Arabidopsis thaliana: one gene and its partner. The protein of the gene in region 1 interacts with the protein of each later gene in a pairwise test. Each region holds a gene or a part of one and is shown on either strand. Other genes may lie near its edges.

What was found. Proteins that work in one complex are often made in the same cells at the same time.
Region 2: the proteins of GBF4 (region 1) and SDG37 interact in a two-hybrid assay, tested with the Arabidopsis thaliana proteins (one large-scale study listed by BioGRID).

Annotation. Positions count from the first base shown.
Region 1 is NC_003070.9:1,014,553-1,021,005, forward strand, and holds GBF4 (G-box binding factor 4), read left to right. Parts: upstream 1-3,547; 5' UTR 3,548-3,684; coding exon 3,685-4,497; 3' UTR 4,498-4,695; downstream 4,696-6,453. Other genes in the region: AT1G03960 (Calcium-binding EF hand family protein), read left to right, coding at 215-320, 399-498, 647-752, 876-966, 1,132-1,273, 1,527-1,674, 1,788-1,897, 2,243-2,399 and 2 more; PCS2 (phytochelatin synthase 2), read right to left, coding at 4,759-4,842, 5,052-5,227, 5,354-5,540, 5,635-5,862, 5,961-6,012, 6,103-6,266, 6,430-6,453. UniProt on the Arabidopsis thaliana protein: Binds to the G-box motif (5'-CCACGTGG-3') of the rbcS-1A gene promoter. G-box and G-box-like motifs are cis-acting elements defined in promoters of certain plant genes which are regulated by such diverse stimuli as light-induction or hormone control.
Region 2 is NC_003071.7:7,771,521-7,780,159, forward strand, and holds SDG37 (SET domain group 37), read right to left. Parts: upstream 5,306-8,639; 5' UTR 5,171-5,305; coding exon 5,056-5,170; intron 4,978-5,055; coding exon 4,832-4,977; intron 4,744-4,831; coding exon 4,609-4,743; intron 4,460-4,608; coding exon 4,405-4,459; intron 4,316-4,404; coding exon 4,197-4,315; intron 4,101-4,196; coding exon 4,012-4,100; intron 3,948-4,011; coding exon 3,866-3,947; intron 3,777-3,865; coding exon 3,672-3,776; intron 3,581-3,671; coding exon 3,490-3,580; intron 3,409-3,489; coding exon 3,289-3,408; intron 3,171-3,288; coding exon 3,064-3,170; intron 2,970-3,063; coding exon 2,900-2,969; intron 2,569-2,899; coding exon 2,505-2,568; intron 2,060-2,504; coding exon 1,900-2,059; 3' UTR 1,700-1,899; downstream 1-1,699. Other genes in the region: CPK16 (calcium-dependent protein kinase 16), read right to left, coding at 28-139, 234-275, 394-524, 679-1,107; AT2G17905 (Ta11-like non-LTR retrotransposon), read left to right, coding at 5,767-6,285.

The DNA of each region.
Region 1 (6,453 bases):
CATTTCCTGCCTCTGGACCTGTGATTTTGGTCTAGTATCTATGTTCACTGGATTGGTCGTTGAAACAGATAGCTTTCGTTAGTAGATGCAGGGTACAATTTAAACCGAGGCTACTAATTTGTAGGTAAACTTGATTTGAACGAAAAATGGTCCTTCACTGTGACATGATAATAAGTTTCGCTCACAACTGTTCATATGTTTATAATTTCTGCAGTTCTACTACCAACACGGGCGTCCACCAGCAAAAGAACTAAAGGAGCAATGTCTATCCATGGTTGATCAAGTTTTTAGTAACTATATTGATGGACTACATGTAGATGGTGATGTTTTTGTTCTATTTTTGTCCTTCTAAGGAATATATAAGGCAGTTCATTTTACCATTCTCGTTCCTCTTGCAGAATTCAAATCCATTACGAAACAAGTCTGCAAGCTGCCTTCTTTTCTTTCTCCTGCACTTTTCAGAAAGATCGATCCCAATTGCACTGATATAGTTACAAGGTAGCTCCATATATGACTCATTTATTCTTTTATAAAATGTTTTTTAAAAGTAGTATGAGAACTTTGGGTGCTTGCTCTATTTTCTTATAAAGCTTTGTTGGGTAATTGGTGCGGTACTAATGTTTGCTGATTGACCAATTGTCCTCAGGGATGCATTTATCAAGTATTGGATTGATGGCAATATGTTAACTATGGACACAGCCTCCCAGATATATAATATACTAAGGCAGCAGGGCTGCAGCTATCTCAGACAGGTCTTTTTGTGATTCTTCTCCCGCTTTTCTCCAACCGCGTTCTGATTTATTTTCCAACAATTGTCTTCCTTTTCTTAACCCATTGTGCCATACATTTTGATCATTTCTTGGATTTGGCTACAGGCAGACTTCAAACCAGTTCTTGATGAGCTTCTGGCAACACATCCTGGATTAGAATTTTTGAGGACGATAAGCGAGTTTCAAGAAAGATATGGTAGGAACCATTGATTTGTGACTTACTGATTGTCATGGTGTTAAAAATGATGAAACCTACTCAATAAGACGTTCTTTCTGTGCATACATCTTTATATCTCTACTAGATATGTACTTATGTTAGATTCATACTTGTACTAATTTTAATCCTTTGTTGATTACCCAGCTGAAACGGTCATCTACAGAATATTTTACTACATTAACAGATCCGGAACTGGCTGCCTTACTCTTAGAGAGCTGAGACGTGGAAATTTAATTGCTGCTATGCAACAACTTGATGAAGAGGACGACATTAATAAAATTATTAGGTGAGTTTATTTTTTCTTTTCATAATTTCCTAACAATAAGTATTTGAAATTCAAACATATTCTGTTGTTATATAAGGAGTAAACAAGCTTACGAAAATATATTAAAGTTCGAGGGTTTATCACATATGTAACATTAAACAGTTCAAAATGGAAGAGCTATATGAGTATTGGCTTATACCTTCATATTGCTTCTGTAACAGAACTTATGCCTGATTTTACCATTTGCAATCATGTCGTTTCTTTTAATTTTCAGGTACTTCTCCTATGAGCACTTCTACGTGATATACTGCAAATTTTGGGAACTTGATGGTGACCATGATTGTTTTATTGATAAGGACAATCTCATCAAATATGGTAATAATGCCCTTACCTACAGGATTGTTGATAGAATATTTTCACAGGTTGGTTCCCAAAATTGTTCCTGCCTAGACCTTCTTAAAAGCTAAGTTATATAGTATGATGTGATCCTTTTTATTTGATCTCCATGCGTCTTGTGGCTATGTTTCTCTTTTAGATTCCAAGGAAGTTTACGAGTAAAGTTGAAGGGAAGATGAGTTATGAAGATTTTGTGTACTTCATTCTCGCTGAGGAAGACAAGTCTTCCGAGCCTAGTCTTGAGTATTGGTACACATCTCCCCCTCCGTGTTGATATTGGTTTTCCTTAATGAATGTTGCCCCTTGGTTTAGATCACAAGATCTTGATATATATACTACAACGGAGTCAAAACCAGTGACTTGAGGACTTGTTACTTGTAACAAGTCCTCTTCCTCAGATATATTTAGTAATCATTGTATGGTACCATTTTTTCATGAACATAGGATCCTTGTTTATACTCGGGCACTAACAATCTAACAATCTGATACTAGTTTATAGCCTAGTATGCTCATCTATCTATTATGGATGTCAAAACTCAATATTTTTGCAAGTCCGTGTATTTTACTTGACACTGATTGAAATTTTCCGTGCAGGTTCAAATGCGTAGACTTGGATGGAAATGGGGTAATCACTTCAAACGAAATGCAGTTTTTCTTCGAAGAGCAGCTGCATCGCATGGAATGCATAACCCAGGAAGCTGTTCTTTTCAGTGATATCCTATGTCAAATAATTGACATGATTGGACCCGAGGTTAGTTACTTTACAAACCAGAACATGGTTGTTTGATTTTTCCGAGCTTTTTTGTTATTTATCATTTATTTGACTGGAATCATCTATATGGTGGATGTCCTTGCAGAAGGAGAACTGTATCACCCTCCAGGATCTGAAAGGATCGAAACTTTCAGCAAACGTTTTCAATATACTCTTCAACCTTAATAAGTTCATGGCATTTGAAACACGTGACCCATTTCTCATTCGCCAGGTAAGTTTGGCTTACCAGTGGAGTTTTTATAGCACTCAAGAGGGAAAAAAATAACAAAGAATATGACTTCTTTTAACTGCTAAAGGCAGTTTGTAGTAGTTCGGATTGAGGCAATTAGAACAAGTATAATTCTCTTTCATTGCTGTAGGAACGGGAAGATCCAAATTTGACAGAGTGGGATCGATTTGCTCAGAGAGAGTATGCGAGATTGTCAATGGAGGAAGATGTAGATGAAGTCTCAAATGGGAGTGCAGATGTCTGGGATGAACCACTCGAACCTCCATTTTAGTCCATAGTGGTAAGTTCACACTGCTTGTGTATAGGAAATGCAAATGCTTATAAAATTCTGTGATTTATTGAGTCGAAAGCCGATCTTGACTACAGAAACCAACCAAATAAGGAGACTTATGATTTGAGGTTTTCCCTGGAGAGAGATCCATGATCAGAGATTGGAGGTCACTGTTGGTTGTTACCAGACGCTTTCATCATCATTTCCAAAAGAGTCTCAGCCAAATTCATGAAATTTTTGCAATTTTGTTTTGGTTTCATTATAAAGATTATATCAAGTTGGGCCCTCTCTCCCTCTACATCATCTAGTGTCCATATAACCAGTTGGATTGTCCAACTCAGAATGTACTCATAAATCTGAATTGTTAAACTCTTTTAGTCTTTACTGTCACACGAATATATTTTCAGAAAGAAATCTGAATTGTAAATCTCTTTAGTTGCACTGATATCTTTTTCATAAAAAAAAAAAGAGAAAGAAATCTGAATAGTAAATCTTTTTTCTTAATTAAAAAGAAAAGAAAAAACATCTCCTTATAGTATAGTTGATAGAAGGTGCAAGTCACGCGTTTAATGTGCGCGTGATTAGTTAATTAAACTTGTATATAGAGAGTAAGCGCGTGGTTACATTGCAAAACACTAGAGATAACCCTAGAAAGATCTCTCTCGATCTCTGGTTCGAAGAAAATCCACCATTTCCGATTGTTCTTTCTCTTTGACAAAACCCAGATAGATAAAAATTCGTTCCAATTCCAGTGAGCTCCGGAAATGGCGTCCTTCAAGTTGATGTCTTCTTCCAATTCCGACTTGTCTCGCCGTAATTCTTCTTCTGCTTCATCTTCCCCTTCTATAAGATCATCGCACCATCTCCGACCAAATCCTCACGCCGATCACTCCAGAATCAGTTTCGCTTACGGCGGAGGAGTCAACGATTACACTTTCGCGTCTGATTCAAAGCCCTTCGAGATGGCGATTGATGTTGATCGGAGTATCGGAGATCGGAACAGCGTTAACAACGGAAAGAGTGTTGACGATGTTTGGAAAGAGATTGTATCTGGAGAGCAAAAGACGATCATGATGAAGGAAGAAGAACCAGAAGATATAATGACACTTGAGGATTTCTTAGCGAAAGCAGAAATGGACGAGGGAGCTTCAGATGAAATCGATGTGAAGATTCCAACGGAGAGACTCAACAACGACGGTAGCTATACATTTGATTTTCCGATGCAGCGACACAGTTCGTTCCAGATGGTTGAAGGATCAATGGGTGGAGGAGTAACGAGAGGAAAGAGAGGGAGAGTGATGATGGAGGCAATGGATAAAGCTGCAGCTCAGAGACAGAAGAGGATGATCAAGAACCGTGAATCCGCTGCTAGGTCTCGAGAGAGGAAACAGGCTTATCAGGTTGAGTTAGAGACTTTGGCTGCCAAGTTAGAGGAGGAGAATGAGCAGCTTTTGAAGGAGATTGAAGAGAGCACTAAAGAGAGATACAAGAAGCTCATGGAGGTTCTGATTCCGGTCGATGAGAAACCAAGGCCACCGTCGAGGCCCTTAAGCAGGAGCCATTCCTTGGAATGGTGAAGTGTGGTAAAAAAAACTTTTGTATGTAAAAAAAATAAAAACATATGGGCTTGATTACTATATTATAATCTATATAGTAAAGTGATGGTGATATGGTTAGTACTTAGTTACCTGTAATGTATCTAAGGGATGTAATGGATAATACATAGCTTTTTGCTGATTTATAAGATATCTATGGACCAGACTAGATGGGATAAATTCTTTTTCTCCCTAACAATTTTGTTGGTCGATTCAAATTAGAAAGTGGTTGGTTGTGTTTGATTAGGCAGGAGCAGAGAGTTCTTCGTCTTCTTTATTCTCCTGGCATCGTTTTAGCATCTCAAGTTGGCGTCGTAGATGCAAAACCTGTAACCCACCAAAGGAAAACGATTTAACTTAGCTGACTTTACTACATATTTCTCATCTAATGGATTCTGGAGTTCAGCCTTAAAAAAGAGTCAGCTTCAGAAGGTAATCCTCAGACTATATAACTGAGTTTCATTTCTGTTTCTTATCCTAAGAATTAGAAGATATATAACTCAGACTCCAAGTGAAGAGTTGGCTTAGTTATGTACCTCTTGTTGAAGCAAAGTCGGGTGGCTAACCATGGAAATGAGCTGTTTCATTTCTTGCAAAAGTGACTGGTCTTTGATACCTGACCACGTCTGTGGAGGTAAAGCCAACAGAAGAGCAGTGAACACATCGTTCCCGGATGGGTAAGCTACCACTGTCACTTTCTCCTCACCAAGACCTTGATGTAAAACAAGAAATTCAAAGAAAAAAGTGATTTCTTGATTAGAACTTTGCACACTACTAACTTCAAGCCAAGGTTTCTGAAGCGCTTAGAAAGATAACCAGAATGTAAGAACAAACATACCTTTGATACATTTGACACAAGTTTCCTTACAACAGGATTCATCTGATTCATATCCCGATAAGATTTCATCTCCGTCACAATAAACCTTAGCAGCAACATATGGCAGATTGTCTTCGTACACAGAGGAGAGAAACTTATCCACATGCTTGAACAGTTTAGTTTCTTGCACTTGTTTCAGTAACTCTTGCTACAGCAAAACGAACCATAGAACAGTGATGAATAAACTGATGGAATATAAACATGGAAAACTAAAGTTCAGAAGCAAATGGACAAGATAATACCTTTAATTTGAGCCTTGATTTCTCTTCTGAGCTAAGATTTTGATTTACATCCTCTGTTCTTCGAATCTCAGCCATCCATTTGATAAATTGGTTGAAATTTGCTGGAAGTGACTTGAATACAACATATAAGATTCTTTCAATAGTATCAACATGTTGTGAGCTTACAAGACGAGGAACATCTTCCTTCAAATACTTTGCAATGCTGATCCAGCTCTCATCCTTACAACTCTGAAATCGATAATCAAGATATCATTACTCAGTCCTATTCGAAAGAAATGTTATTGTAATAGCAGCAACTACTAATAGAACCATGACTTTGGACTTACTAATGTATAGAGCAATCCTGGTTCTCTGTGGGGTCTTGATATAAGCATGAACCTGGAAGTAAAGCAGAATAGCAAAAAGAAACGGATTACATTCTTTAATCATACAAGTGAAGCCTAAGAAAAAGAATAGAGATCCATGTACCCTCTACGTCTCCCTGTTGACTGATCAATACTATCCATGGCATCCCAAAGAAGTTTAAGAGGAACCCAGTGAGGAGGATACTTGAAACGAGCGACATCAAGAATCAAAGCCATATCTCTTTCAGCATTATAACCACCAATAGGTGAAAAGTGGCCAGTTCCAGTCTGCAATCATAGACATTAGAATCCGATCAGCATGGGACTTCATAGCAAGACATGAAAGAGTTTCACCATTATCAAACTTTGTAATAACATTAAGTCTAATGAATTTCACTTAATTGCCATATAACTGTTAATATACACAGAGTTTAGGCCAAAAAAATGATACCTGCTTGAGTACTTGCCTATGATA
Region 2 (8,639 bases), on another chromosome or scaffold:
AACATGATGATGGAGTAATTAAGCTACCTCTGGTTTCATATCTCGGTGAACCAAACCGCGTAAATGACACTCAGCCGCAACTTTCAGCATTTGTCTCACCACCACGGCCGCGTCTCTCTCGCTATAACGGCTATCCTTCCTGGAAACAAGCAACAACAATAGCTTAATTACTCAAAAAGTAATAAGACTCTAAAATTTTAGTAACACACATGTAAACGTATTACTAAAGTTACCTGGCTAAAATACGATCAAGTAATTCACCACCCTCGCATAACCTAGAGAACAATATATCATCAATGGAAAAACTAATTAGCAACAGAGAAGTTTTCGCCCTTTGCCTTTCTTGCATTACAAGAAAAGAAAAACACACGACCTAAAAGGCTTTTTACTTACTCCATAACTATATAAACAGAGTTCTTGTCCTCGAAGGCATTATAAAACCGAACCACATTTTCATGACCAGTTAAAGCTTGTAATATCTTCACCTCTCTCTTTACATCTTCCACAGCTATCGGAATTGTCATCTACCCAACAAAAATCAAATCAAGAAACGCAAGAATCCGAATATATTTTAAATATATAAAATAATCTTTGTGCTCCAAAATCTGAAGAATCTTAAATAAAATAAAACTCAATGATTAGAAAAAGACAGCAAAAATGATTGATTCATCATCATACCTTGGCCTTATCGATCTTCTTGACGGCGACACGATCACCGGTTTTTTTATCGGTAGCGACATATGTATAACCAAATTGACCATGTCCAAGCAATTTTCCAATGGTGTAACGGTGATCAAAATCTTTAGCGTACCCAAAATCTACACGCTTACCGTAGGGGATCGTTTCTCCATGTCTCCTACCGTTATTGCTTATAACTTTCTCTCTCACTTTCCCGTGCGGTGGCGTATGCCGCGTCGGCGTTTTCTTAGCCGTTGCATTGCGTCGCGGTTGCGTTCTATGATCCTTTTGGATCGTAACGGCCATGAAGGAACATGGAGATCGCGGTGGTCTGGATTTAACAACCGTGAGAGGAGGATGTGGGTGGGGATTCCGGCTACTGCGGTTGTGGCCGGAGGATTTGGCGGCGGAGGAGAAACAGAGACCCATGAGTTTTTTTGTGGGATTTCGGTTTCTTAGACCCTACGCAATGAGGATGTTTTCTTAGGGGATTTGTGAGGCATTAATGAATAGGAAATGAGGTTGCCATCGAAACAGCATTGCCAGAGGGAGGGAGAGAGAGAGATATGGAGAAGGAGAAGCTTCGATATGCGTTGTGTCAAGAAATAGACTTTTCTCGGGTGAAACTTTTTTTTTTTTTTCCATTTTGCAAAATAAATTTTCTTTTTGGGTGTAGGAAATTAAAGAATTTCAGGTTATAAAGTATTTGAATAAAATTATATATATTGTGCTTAGATGAGAAATTTTAAAACTGATTAATGAAAAAGTGGATCATCCAAATATCCAAGTAAATGTAACAAGCAGATTATTTGATAACAATATGTTTTTTTAATATTTTTGTTGAGCAGATTATTTGATAACAATATGTTTTTTTAATATTTTTGTTGGTTAACGATTGTTGAAGTTGATATCTATGAATGGTGTACCGGAACAAAATAGTAGTGATGCGACTACATATCGTCATATAGTTGGTACATGTGAGTATGCAATACATATTACATTTAGTTTGTATAATTGGCTATATATTTCTAATTTTGACATGTGTGGCCAAAATATTATATTAGATCAAATAGAGGAGATCAATTTTATCAGGTTTTCAGCTCTAGAATTTGTAAAGACAAATTCAATATATTCAAGATGTGTAGAGAGTATAGAAAGTGATTCATGAGTTTGTACAAGAGAGAGATCAAAGTTGCTAGTTGTCATCATTATAAGCGTCTTTCAATGCAATGCAAGCTGCTTATAAGAAGCTTCTGCACGAGCTTCCTCCAACTTTGCTGAGAGCTCTTTCATGAAAGGTGTGCTTATTCCATGGCTGATCCGCAGAATGTCAAATGCCTTAATCAATGAACTCACCGCCTCTTTGGTTTCCCCCAGCAACCTGCAACATCACAATTATACCTTTTTTATCCGCAGAATATGATAGTAACCGACACCATGTTATTGCACTCAGACTCAGATTCACGTAGAAAGTTAAAATATGAATGATAATTTTTTACAGGTAAACGAATGTTTCTTTCCACAGAGATTCTAACTTAGGGATATCTTGAAGGCTTATTAGCCAAGTTCCGCCTAACACTAGCCAATCTCTACGTGTTCCCACTTCCCTGACTGAAAAAGTCACAGTAGAATAAGAGTCTCCAACACTGAGAACATGTAGCTTTGATAGTTGAGGGAAAACACTTATTATTTGGTCTTAAGGATTTTGACCGGAGAATTAAATAGTCGTGATATAGAGCATTAATCTGTCTTCAAATTCTAGTTCAGTTTCCGCAGCTCAAAATCTATCAAAATATAAACTAGAGAAAGCAAAGAAGCTTTGATACCATTCGAGTTTTCCTTGGGTATAGAACTGCAGTCCAATCAAAGGATGGGTTGCCGGATATACTCCTGCAATTTTATAAACAAGGTAAGCACAAGTAATAACCACCAAAAGAATTTGAATGATTTTATAATTATTATGTAGATGTTTCTGTTTAAGGTATAATTAGCAGCCATTAGTGCCAGTACAGTTAGCTCTGATACTGCAGGCAATAAGTTCCTACGGTAATTATAAGTAAATGTATCTATACAAAACTCTTAAGAGCTTCGTACTTATGTTCAAGATATAAATCCCACACCTAGATCTATATACTAGAAGGTATCCTAAAGAAAAGAAAAATATTGATCGAACATGCGTCAAGGAGCGAGCAACGTAATAATCAAGATGAAGTAAACATACTTTGGTAAACAGGGACTATTAGTCTGCAGTAATTCAAAGCTTCTCTCCAGATTTCTACGTCCATTAGCATCTGCAAAAGAATGTGTAACGGCAAGCTTTGAGAAACCATATCTGTCTCGTCTTCAAAACTCTGTAAAACTTCCAAAAGTCCTAAAGATACGTACCTTGAGAAGTTTTTCACGGGTTCTCATTAAAGGGATGGAGAAAGAATGGTAAAGCTTAACTTGTAGTTTCTCAATTGTCTTATATAGTTCAATAGCGGCTTGTTTATCTGAAAATGATCAAAGATTTTCTTAGACAACTTGCAACACAGCTCAATTTAACGAAGATCAGTTAATCTTGTTCAGACATGTAAATGCAGGTATTGAGGAAGCAAAGGCAACAGATACCTTCTGCGGAAGGAGATGTAGGAGCCTTCTCTGAAACTGTTTTGAGATCACTTGCTAACTTTTTAACCTCTTCCTTGCTCCTAAGAAGCAAGCATTTCTGGCAAACGAAGCCTTTTTCTTCTGCAAAAGTAAACAAATGAGGACTGGAGGGATCAAGAAATGTTCTTGGATACAAACTACCTAAGTTAAATCTTAACATACCAGGATCACGGAGTAAGAAACCGGTGCATTTCTCATTGGCACACCGATAGCCTTCCAATATTGCACTTTCTTCAATATCATGAGGTTTTCCCTTAAGTATCAAAAAATGATGGTACAGGTTGTAAACAAAATATAGAATTAACTCCATTCGTTGATAAGTGGGAGAATTAGCGACTGCTTACAAAGTTACTGCAACGGGCACACTGACAGTGGAAGAGGTATTGTTCTTTCAGAGACTTCTGCCGAGTCAGAGTGCTTCCAGCGGTTTCAATATAACTGATAGTTATCTGACCAAAGACAAAAGGATCTAACAGCTATATGTCCGTGTGCTACTAGCAATTACGAAAGACGAGAGACGAAACAAAGCAAAAACTACCTCTGAATCCTTTGATATGTTATCCATCGCCCGAACAACAGCCATCTGCTCCTCAAACACTAAAACCGCATTGGGAGAGCAGCTACAGAGCAAAAGATTTAGGCAGGAAACAAAGTGATTAAAGAACACAAAGAAAAAGCATTTACCTGTGATTAATGATGGAAACCAATGGAAACAATCCAATCCCTTGAGGTCTCAATTCGCTATCACAAATGCTATGAGCATTGCATGAGAACTGTGTTCAGTAGAAATGAAAGTGGCTTAAGTAATTATCCCTAAACAACATTCCAATAAAGACGAATACAAAAAATCCCGGGACCACATCACCAACCTTTGAAAAGTTCTCGGCGATCTCTCTTAGGTCAACACTAGGAAATTGAAGAATCAAGTTCACAAGATTAGCCATCTGTGCATACAACAACATCTGCTTTTCATCAATCTCAGACATGTCTAACATATAAAGGTTAAAGAATACACATTTCTAGCGGTAAAGAGATCATCAATTTCACAAAGCTATAAGGCACACATAGAGAGGATACGGGACACCAAAGCCTCCACCAAACTATAATTGTCTGTCGTCGTAATTGGCAGGACCTGGACAAGATAAAGCACATTAAGAATTTAGCATTCATAGACTGCTATCAATATGACACAAATAACCAATGAATCAGCCTTCTTCTCCATATTTAGCAGCCAAAAACAAAATATGGATGTATCTAGACTTCTACATAGCTGATGATAACCTTTTCATTTTGCAAATTCCTCTTGATGTAAAGTCTAACCATCAGACGTATTGTAGGAGTAACAAACTTCCGTTTCTCCTTCTCAAGTCTAGTGAGAGCTTTGCATTCATCGCGATGTAACTTCCACTCTGACTTCTGAAAGGAATCACAACAAACAACAAATCTTAGAATATGAATCAATCATCAACTGAATTTCTCCAGAGAGGACTCATATCAGATATACCTGGCAAGAGCTCCCACAGTACCAAACCACTTGACAAGCAGAACATTTCTTAAGGTTATTGGTCTTGAAACATCCGTCACATCTTGATTCCGAGGATGTATTATTCGGAACACATATATATGGCTTTTGGCTTAGAATCACTTCTCCTGGAAGAAAACACAGGAATCAGAATAAGTCTCAGACGAACAAAACCCTAAACCCCAGCGAGAGAGAAACGAACGAACCTGGACGAAAATCTCTGGCAGTGAATAGAGAGCGGCCTTTCTGTGGGAGATTCGAAACGCCTAAGCAGCGATCTTGCAGAAATCTCTGCAAATCCGCCATTAGTGAAGCTTCCATTGGAACTTACGCGAGGTTTCGAGAACAACGGTAACTTTGAATTTGAGTCCCAAATCAAATCTCAAGTTTACAACAAATTAGGGTCGGTTTTGGTCAGCCTCGCTTTTAAACCCGGACCGCGAGTTCTTCTTTTTTTTCCCAGGTTTTGACGGAAATTTGATTATTTACATTTGCATCCCCTTTTCTTATTTTCCACAATTTGACGGAAGTTTGATTAGTTACATTTAGATCCATTTTCTAATTTTATAAATTCTGGTTGTTAATTTTTCAGTTTCGTTGGTCACTGAAAACAACTGATTGCATTTTGGAGTAATCAATTTAAAGTTTGAAAAGTTCAAAAGTATACTTTATAACACAGAAAAAGTTCAATAGTAAAAATAAACTCTCTGTTCTCTTTCATAGTAGGTGAAATAAAGATCTCGCGTCGCCGTTAATCAATCGCCGTCCCAGATTTCTTTTGGGCTCAAGGACTTCTCTCTCAGCTGTTTTCATCTGAGCGGAGCTTCTACCGGAGATATTAACTTTTTCGGTCCGGTTAAAACAAACTTTTACAAAGTGCTCTGTTTTTGTTCTGTCATCTGCTTGCTGAAGTTTTCATGGATAAAGACTTGGATAAAGCTATTCAAAACATGTCTCTTGAAGATAATCAACCTCTGATTCTCTCAAATCTTCCGCAGTTTTCCTCTATTGAACGCAATAGCTGTAGTATTCTGGGAAGATTCTTAAATCCAGAAAATCAACGGATGTCTAACTGGATTTTAGACATGCCTCGTATTTGGCGTTTATCTAATCGTGTTAGAGGTGTGGCTCTTTCGAAAGAGCGGTTTCAATTTTTCTTTAAATATGAGGAAGACTTAGAAGAAATCTTGAAGACTGGAGTGTGGACACAAGATGATTGGGCAGTTGTTATGCAAAAATGGATAGAGAAACCACCTGATGACTATCTGAGGTTTCTCCCAATTTGGGTTAGAATCAGAAATATTCCCGTTAACTATTATACTGAAGACACGATTAAGGAGATTGCGGGATGTTTAGGGAAAGTGATGCAGGTTGTCATGGATCCTGAAAAATCACAGGTTCAAGATTATGTTCGAGTTCAGTTCTATTTTCTGTAGCCAATCCTCTTCGTAACAATAAAGAGGTTCAACTTCCTTCAGGTGAACTTGTTCTCATTTCTTTTGATTATGAGAGGATTAGGAAAAGGTGTTTCCACTGTCAACGATTAACTCATGATAAAAACAAATGTTCTATGAAGATTTCTGAACCTATAAATCTTCATGTCAAGAGATCTTCACCCGAAGGTAACTCGTTAGAACGTCTTTCAAAGTTTCAAGTTCCTTTACCTTCTGAAGTATCAGACTCGAAACTAATAAGCGAGGCTATGATAACAACGGATATACCAGTCTCTGGTTTTGCTTCTACTCTTCGAGATGATAAGGTTTTTGAAGACCTTGCTGATTTAGAAGTTTTAACTGGTTTCACAACAGGCTATGGTGAGGCTAGTACCTCGACTGCAGGTTTTCAACATCATTTAATGCAAGAGTTCTCTTCTTCTGCTTCAAGGAAAGGCAAATCACAGAGAAAATGGTCAATGAAGAAGAGAAACAAATCATCTGATTCAATGCCTCAATTTGCTAAAGTCTTCAAAAGAAAAGCAAACCCTCCAGACATCTCTGATTCTCAATGTCAAAAGAAAGATAAAAATACGGTGGTTTTCCAGGAACCACCGTTGGATCAGTAAGGCGTCATTAGCTGGAATTGTCAAGGTCTGAGGAATCCTTGGACAATTCGATACTTGAAGGAAATGAAAAAGGATCATTTTCCAGACATTCTATTCCTCATGGAGACAAAAAATTCTCAAGATTTTGTTTATAAAGTTTTTTGTTGGCTTGGTTATGATTTTATACATACAGTAGAACCTGAAGGAAGAAGTGGTGGCTTAGCAATTTTCTGGAAAAGCCATCTGGAGATTGAGTTTCTTTATGCTGATAAAAATCTTATGGATCTTCAGGTTTCTTCTAGAAATAAAGTTTGGTTTATTTCTTGTGTTTATGGACTTCCGGTTACCCATATGCGACCTAAACTATGGGAACACCTGAATTCTATTGGTCTCAAGAGAGCAGAAGCATGGTGTTTAATAGGAGACTTCAATGATATTAGGTCGAATGATGAAAAATTAGGAGGACCAAGACGATCACCTTCTTCTTTTCAATGCTTTGAACACATGTTACTCAACTGTTCTATGCATGAATTAGGAAGTACAGGTAATAGTTTCACTTGGGGAGGAAACAGAAATGATCAGTGGGTTCAGTGTAAATTGGATCGATGCTTTGGAAATCCAGCTTGGTTTTCTATTTTCCCTAATGCTCATCAGTGGTTTTTAGAGAAGTTTGGATCTGATCATCGCCCGGTATTGGTCAAATTCACTAATGACAATGAGCTTTTTCGTGGACAATTTCGTTATGATAAAAGACTTGATGACGATCCCTACTGTATTGAGGTTATACATCGTTCTTGGAATAGTGCAATGTCTCAAGGTACTCACTCTTCTTTTTTCAGTCTTATTGAATGTCGTAGAGCTATCAGTGTATGGAAACATTCGTCTGATACTAATGCTCAAAGTAGAATTAAGAGATTGAGAAAAGATTTAGATGCAGAGAAGAGTATTCAAATTCCATGTTGGCCTAGAATTGAGTATATCAAGGATCAACTGAGTTTAGCATATGGTGATGAAGAATTGTTTTGGAGACAAAAAAGCAGACAAAAATGGCTTGCAGGGGGTGACAAGAATACTGGATTCTTTCATGCTACTGTACACTCTGAGAGATTAAAGAATGAGTTAAGCTTTCTACTTGATGAGAATGATCAGGAATTTACAAGAAACAGTGATAAAGGAAAAATTGCATCTTCCTTTTTTGAGAATCTGTTCACCTCTACGTATATATTGACTCATAACAATCACCTGGAAGGTCTCCAAGCAAAGGTAACATCAGAAATGAATCACAATTTAATTCAAGAGGTCACTGAACTGGAAGTGTATAATGCAGTATTCTCTATTAACAAGGAAAGTGCTCCAGGACCTGATGGTTTTACTGCTTTGTTCTTTCAACAACATTGGGATTTAGTGAAACATCAGATCTTAACTGAGATTTTTGGTTTCTTTGAGACTGGAGTTCTACCCCAGGATTGGAATCACACTCATATTTGTCTCATTCCTAAGATCACTAGCCCACAGAGAATGTCAGATCTTCGACCTATAAGTTTGTGTTCTGTGCTATACAAGATAATATCGAAGATTTTGACTCAAAGATTGAAAAAACATCTTCCAGCTATTGTTTCTACAACGCAATCTGCATTTGTTCCTCAACGCTTGATATCTGATAATATATTGGTTGCTCATGAAATGATTCATAGTCTCAGAACCAATGATCGAATATCTAAGGAACATATGGCTTTCAAGACTGACATG